Callithrix jacchus: one gene and its partner. The protein of the gene in region 1 interacts with the protein of each later gene in a biochemical or structural test. Links are inferred from orthologs where the notes say so. Each region holds a gene or a part of one and is shown on either strand. Other genes may lie near its edges.

Region 1 (3,150 bases):
CGAGACCCTGTCTCTAGAAAGAGAAACAAAAATCCAGTGGATTCTGCTTTTGACTGTTATGTTTTTGGGCTAATCACTGATAACTAAACTTTTCTAAGTAACTCATCCACAGCAGTGGCTGTTGATATTCCAGCTGATGAAGTCACATGAATAGCATGATCTTATTCAATCCTCATGTTCAATCTAAAAGTCCTACGTATTGTTTTTATTTTACAGATAATGAAAAAGAGGTAGAGCTGCTAAGTGAGCAGGCCCCCAAGTAGTTAGTGCTGAGTGGGAACAGGAACTGAGTCTCCTGCCCCTCAGCTGCAAACTTTCTGGTGGTTTCTTGTTTTGCAGTATGGGGTTATGGTACTGTGTGACATCTCCCTCCCACCTCTGCCACTTGGCAGTAAAATATCCATGTAGAAAAGACGGAAAGCATGCAAGTAAATATGCTAGCTCTGGAAATAAAGAATCTTTAGGGTCCTCCCACCCCCTTATATAGGTCTTTATCCATCTTGCCACCAGCAAACTATTCAATTGGCACCGAATTTGCTGAATATCAAAATGGCTTCATTTCTGTGCACGATAACAGGGAAACATCTTTTCCATAAATACCATTAAGAACCTGGCTTAACTCTCTCTTTTGAATACATAAAAACCACTATTTAAAAATGCCACATTAAATGTTTATGCCATTTATTTTCCTTAAATAATAATTTGCTACAATCCTGTCACAAATTTAAAAAAATTTAACACAGTATTCACAAAGGCAGAATTCTTTAGGACGATCAAAGTGATGGTCTTAGAATAAATTAACATCAGATTGTATTTATATTCAGATAGTCTGATCCTCTCCTTTGAAATGCAATGGAGACCATTGTAACTGGGGGTGAATGCACACAGTTGTTCTTCTATACAGAGACTCATTCTTTATGTATACTCAACGGTAATTTGAATCGTTAGAAATCCTGAGAAACACTCACCCCTGGGCACACACACGTACACACCCCACGGCCAACCCTCCAGAAGCTCGGTTTCCCATGGTTCAATTACTAGACGCTCTTTTCTTGAAGGCCAAACATTCAGAATATTTAGATGACATTGTCCCATCTCCCCTTGGAAAAATCATAAAGTTTCAAGTGTAGGAACTTGAAGTAGCAGCAATACATGTAGGAGATTCAGTAGTCAGTGATTCCAGTCCTGGGTGCTGAGTGTGCAGTAGGAGGCAAGCAGAGACAAGAGACACACCTGCTTCTACAACTAAGCCACGAGATGACCAGAACATACTGAGGGTCCCAGTTCTCAGAGTCTCAGCTGAAAACTCACCTGAATGCACATTACAAATCCAGGTCAGGCACCAAGAGGAAACCTGAAGGGGGATACGATTCTCAGAAACATGAGTATCAGAAGTTGCCGGGAGATGAGACAAAGGGAGAGAGGGCAGAGAGGTGCTGCTCAGCCTTCAGCCTGACCCCCAGCACCCTGCCATTTAGTATATTTGTCAGGGTTTCCTTAGCATCAGTGCAGGTGAACCTGAGTTGTTCCAGCTCCACCTAGAAGTACAGAAAGCTCAGCCCTTATAGTCTGACACACAGAAACAAAACATCCAAACGACCCGAGATAACTATACCATCTTGTTGCTGGGAGGTCAACAGCTCTGTGGGTGTCCCGTCTCAATTGCTCCAGGATGCCAACAGGGGTGTGTGTGGTGATGTTAGGGAAGAAGGCATTAGGACAGGCCCCAAACTGAGATCCCTTTTGTATCTTTCCATAGAAATACAGGCCTAAATGATGCCATAAATGCATGCTTATCTACACCAGTTCCTATGTACACAATGTCTTTTCTACAGAAATTTAAAGTGCCTGGGTTCAGAGGTGCCCATTCCTTTCCCACAGCTACTGGTTCCTCTTGCTGCTTCCAGAGAGGAGGTCTGCCCTCCTCTCTCAAGGAGGATGGCCTTGGGAAAGAGGAACGGACGTTTTCACAGTTGTCTTAACTAGGATCCAGCATCTGGACTAAGCCTTCTTCATACACACGAAGAATCGCTTCACACACAAACTTGTATTGGCTCTGGAAAAGAAAACAAAGCTGTTAAGTCCCGTAGCTTCAGGAAATGCTGCCCACCCTGTACCGGTGGGTCTTTTGCAGCATTTGTAAATACTTCCTGAGTGCCAACTCCCCCATTTGTGTGGAGCCTTAATCATGCTCATTCCACACCGCGTCACCGCCCTGCTTGGAGTTCCAGGGGAAATCCCCAAGGGTTCCTCTTGAGGACAAGAGGATGTGGCACATGACCCTGCTTTGAGCTGTTCCACCCATGGAGGACTGTGCAGGTACTCAGGGACCACATGGGTGGGACAGATCTCAAAGTAGGGTCATATGAAACATGCACGGAGCCAAAAGGAGTACCCAGGTCTAGGTAGGAAGGTGATGTAGAAACGATGGTTCAATGATACAGAATCCAACCAGGGCTCCTCCCTGACAGACGGGCTGGTAGGACAAACCACAGAGGCAGCAGAGCTCAGAAGGGAGATGGGTGTGGGTTGTAGCCACTGACAAGCTCTGAGAATCTGGGCAAGTGGTTCAGTCCCCTGAGCTGCAGTCTCTTGACCGACGAAGCCCTCCTCTCAGGCCTGCCTGGTGTAAGTGCTCAGAAGGGGACAGCCATCATTATTACTGGATTTCTACTCACTGATGTCTGCACCATCATGGCGCGCTGGTCTCGCATTTTTCGGACAATATCCAGGGGGTAAACGGGCAGGTTCCTCTCAGTTAGGCACATAGCTGTTTCCATAGTGACCAACACACCGGTTCGACCTATTCCAGCACTGGAAAGGGGAGAGGAGACAGATTTGGGATTTGTCTGAGTAGCCTTTCTGCATGGCCCAGTGTTGACTCAGAAGGGGCTTTCCTCTCCTGGCCTTGGAGAAGACAAAATGCACTCAGGGTGCGCTCTCAAACAGGCTGAGACAGCCTATCCTCACACAGCCGAGGCTGGGGGCTAACAGCCAGTGGAGAGAGAGCCAGTGCTAAGTGCCAAATCCCCTCCCTTTCTCACTCATATCTATGATGAAGGTCAGCTGACAGAGGGCAGGAGAAAGGGCGTGCGGGGGACTTTCTTCGTCAGCTCTGCGCTGCATTCACAAGTTTAGGATTTCATAAAA
Region 2 (3,600 bases), on another chromosome or scaffold:
TTTGTTAGAATAAGACTCTTGACTATCCCAGCCAAAGGAAACCACCTCTCCTGTGAGTGGGCTCCGGGAACGGACACACTTCTATCACTGCACACCCTTCCAATAACCTTCCCAAGAGTGAGCGGAAGCCAGCCTACTCTGAACAGGACACAGACTGCAATTTGCCACTGTCCCTGGCTGCCCTCAGGACTCCCCTCTCCTTGGATTGCCTGGGCACCAGCCTCCGCTGTTCCCCTAACCCCAGCTGCCTCTGGTGCTTCCCACCAGTCCTCCAAGCCCAGTCTTCATGCTGAGTGAGTCAATCCTAGAATTTTTTCAGAGGAGCTTTGATCACCACAGAGAAGGGGCCGAGCACCTTGGAGCACAGCAGCTGCCCATGCCACACTGGGCTGAATGCTGGCTCTTGGCACCCCAGGGCCAGTTCCTCTTCTGCTCAGATCCTCTTGGGTCAATTCTAGGCTTATTTGCCCCACAGAAAGCAGATCTCAAGGTATCTTCACCCTGAGTGGTGCTCCCATTCCACTGACTCTCTAGAAGACATTGAATAATTCCTTGAGCCCCTCTGGGCCTCAGTTTCCCCACTTGCACAATATGGTGGTGACAGGATCAAAAGTTTAATGAGGCTCTTTTCAGCACAGGGCTGGACACTGAAACATAGAATTTGCATTCCATACCCTGGCTGTCGACTGACCTGACCCTCTCCATGCTCCTGAGACAGCAGCCTGACCGCCCTCATTCCTCCTCCCACTCATTACCACCGACTCAGGTGTACCTGCCCAATTCTAACTGAGTGGAGATGAAGTCAAAGAGATGGAGTTGAGGGCAGTGGCGAGGGCCTGGGACTCCAGTAGCTGGTGCCGCTTTTGCTTAGGGTCCGCTAGATCCTGAAGGATGGTGGGAACCTGGGAGAGGGCTTGGGATGCCATGGCATGGTGGGGGTCATGTGGTGTTCCTGTCTGGATGATACCGCCTAGGCTCACCGGGAAACACACCAGGGGTCTCAGCAGGAGGTGAGCAGACACCTGGGAATGGACCGTAGGCCCAGGATGTTAAAAGGAGATGGATCCCATGGCCCGGGGCTGGGCTGAAGGCACTAAGGAGCACAAGTGTGTCCTGCACTATCTCAGCCATGGCGTCCTGATCTGGCTGTGCGCTGCTTTCCAACAGTTGTTTGCAAGGCAGGCCTACTGTCCCCAATATCGTTTCCCCCCACCCTCATCACTACCACTAACAGTCCCCACACCTCTGCCCCCGACCAGCCCTTGGCCTCTCAGACAAGGCTTGGCACCTCCACTTTCTACCAGGGCGCCACCAAAGACGATCAAATAACACAGAGTTCGAGAGACACCTCCCATCAGGGTTCGTGGATCTGTCCGGCTGAGAGAGAGAGGAAGGCAGAGAGCCCTCTCCCATCTCAGCGCGTAGAGATCTCTCCCCCTTCTAGCAGCACAGAGATCAGACAGAAGAGATGCGGCCCCTTTAGTGCGTCAAAGGGCACCGAAATCTCTCCATGATCTAAGGGCGCAGAGATCTCGTCCCACACAGAGGACAGCCCGAGCAGACGGTTCCCTCTGTGCCCAGAGAAAGGGGGTGCTTGGCTTCCTCCCTCGTATCCAGCCCCACTCAGTCAGCCCCCGCAACCCCCGCTCTCTGGAACCACGATCACTGCGCGCCCAGTCGCCGCTCTGACCTTGGGGTCTCCGGCCTCCGGAATCCGGGTCCCAATCCCAGACCCTACCGGAGCCTGCGCCAGGGATGGCCGGGAAGCGGGGGCCGCAGTTCCCCCTCCCCCGGCCCTCGACAGCGCACCGGGAAACCCGGAAGGAAAGGGAAGGGAAGGGGGGCGCGCGGTGATCAGGGACGCCTCCCCCGGGGATCCCCTCCAGCCGGGCGGATCTGCGCTCCTTCTCCCACTCCGGCCCTCTGGGGCACTGGTCGGGGAGGGAGCGGCCGGGAGGACCTGGGGCAGGGGAGGAGCACGCAGGGTCTGGAGGCTTCGGCTCTCGGGGAGGAAAGTTGGGCGGCGGCAGGCAGAGGGGGCTCCGGCCGGGCCGGGGCTGCCGGACGCGGGGGCGCTCGCTCACCTGCTGGTCCCCCGGCCCGGCCCCGGGGTGGGCGGCTGCGGCTCGGCGCGGACTCGGCTTGGCACGGCGCGAGGCTCGGGGCACTGGGCGCGGGCTCAGCGGCCCCGGGGGAGCAATCCCCGCATCCTACGGGCGCCGCCGCCGTCTCGGCTGCGCGGCTCGGTCCGGGCTCCCGGGCTGGGCAGGCGGCGCGGGCTCGGGCTGGGGGCGGGGTCGGGGGCGGGGCCCGCCTGGGCTCGGCCTGGGGCTCGGGGCCCCGGGCTGGCTCCGCCCCAGAGCGACGCGCTCGGGGCTCCGCACGTGGCGCTCCGCCCGCTCGGAGGGGGACACACCCGCGCCCGCCCAGCCCGCCCGGGCGCACACGCCCACACTGACCCGGGGGCGCAGCGCCACAGATGGCCACCCACGCAGAGGCAGACAGACACGCGGGGGGTACACACGCCGACCCGGGGACGCTTCGCCACAAATGGCCACCCACGCAGAGGCGGACAGGCACACACTGGCAAACACTGTCGCGCGCGCGCGCGCGCACCCACACACACGACCTGCTGACTTGGGAAGGCTACAGCAGACACCCAACCACCCACCCACGTGGACACGGGAGTCCACTGACACTCATGCCGAGACAGACACACGCTGCCGTAGGCATACCTGCACTGACACAGACACACACCTGCACCCTGAGACAGACACACACACCCACACACCCACAGACACAGACAGACACATCACTGACACACAGTGACACTGAGGAAGACACGCTGACAAACTCAGACACCCACATGACTTAGACACACATCCACTGACACACTGACACAGAGACGCACACACTCCAACCACACTTTCCTGGAGACACAGGGATGGCACAGACATCTGCACAACGGTACACACCTACCTGAACACACGCACACGCTGACAGAACCACACACACACCCAGACCCAGAGTTAAGCAGGCAACCGACACACAGACACACACACAGACATACACACACAGAAACACACACACACACATTCACCCTCCTGGGCCACACAAAACCTTCACCTTGTCGTACACAGAGGCCTGGAGTCACACACCCACACACCCACTGTCTCGCACACAGAGACAGGGTCACAGGCACACAAGCACGGAGACAGACGCTGACAAACCGTTGCTCACACGCCCCTACCCAGAACCTGCGGGGACACACTTCTGCTTTAAACGAAACAGGCTCCCAGCTTTTGCCCACAGATCAGAGCGGCCATTGGAAGGGACAGTGCACTCTCCTGCCACATTTTCGGGGTTCCCGGAAGCAAGAACCGCTCTGAGAGAGACAAATGGGCGCCGGGGTCCCAGAGGGCACAGAGGTGCTGAGTTTGGGAGCCCGGAGGCTGGGACCTGCCCCTCGGTGATCAGGATCTTGGAGACCTGGGAGGGCGACGAGCGGGTGGGGGATAGCGTCCCTTTGCAACCTGGGTGTGGGGCTTCGCTGGACGCCTTAGGGACATACAGAGGGGCTGCTCTGCTTGCAGGAGGGGA

What was found.
Region 2: the proteins of PTPN3 (region 1) and SCN5A form a complex in vitro, tested with the Homo sapiens proteins (2 studies listed by IntAct, with this or other methods). The link is inferred for Callithrix jacchus from reciprocal best matches to the Homo sapiens genes PTPN3 and SCN5A.

The regions. Positions count from the first base shown.
Region 1 is NC_133502.1:157,754,019-157,757,168, forward strand, and holds the end of PTPN3 (tyrosine-protein phosphatase non-receptor type 3), read right to left. Parts: intron 2,815-3,150; coding exon 2,679-2,814; intron 2,057-2,678; coding exon 1,979-2,056; 3' UTR 665-1,978; downstream 1-664.
Region 2 is NC_133518.1:76,507,615-76,511,214, forward strand, and holds the start of SCN5A (sodium channel protein type 5 subunit alpha), read right to left. Parts: upstream 2,251-3,600; 5' UTR 2,085-2,250; intron 1-2,084. UniProt on the Homo sapiens protein: Pore-forming subunit of Nav1.5, a voltage-gated sodium (Nav) channel that directly mediates the depolarizing phase of action potentials in excitable membranes.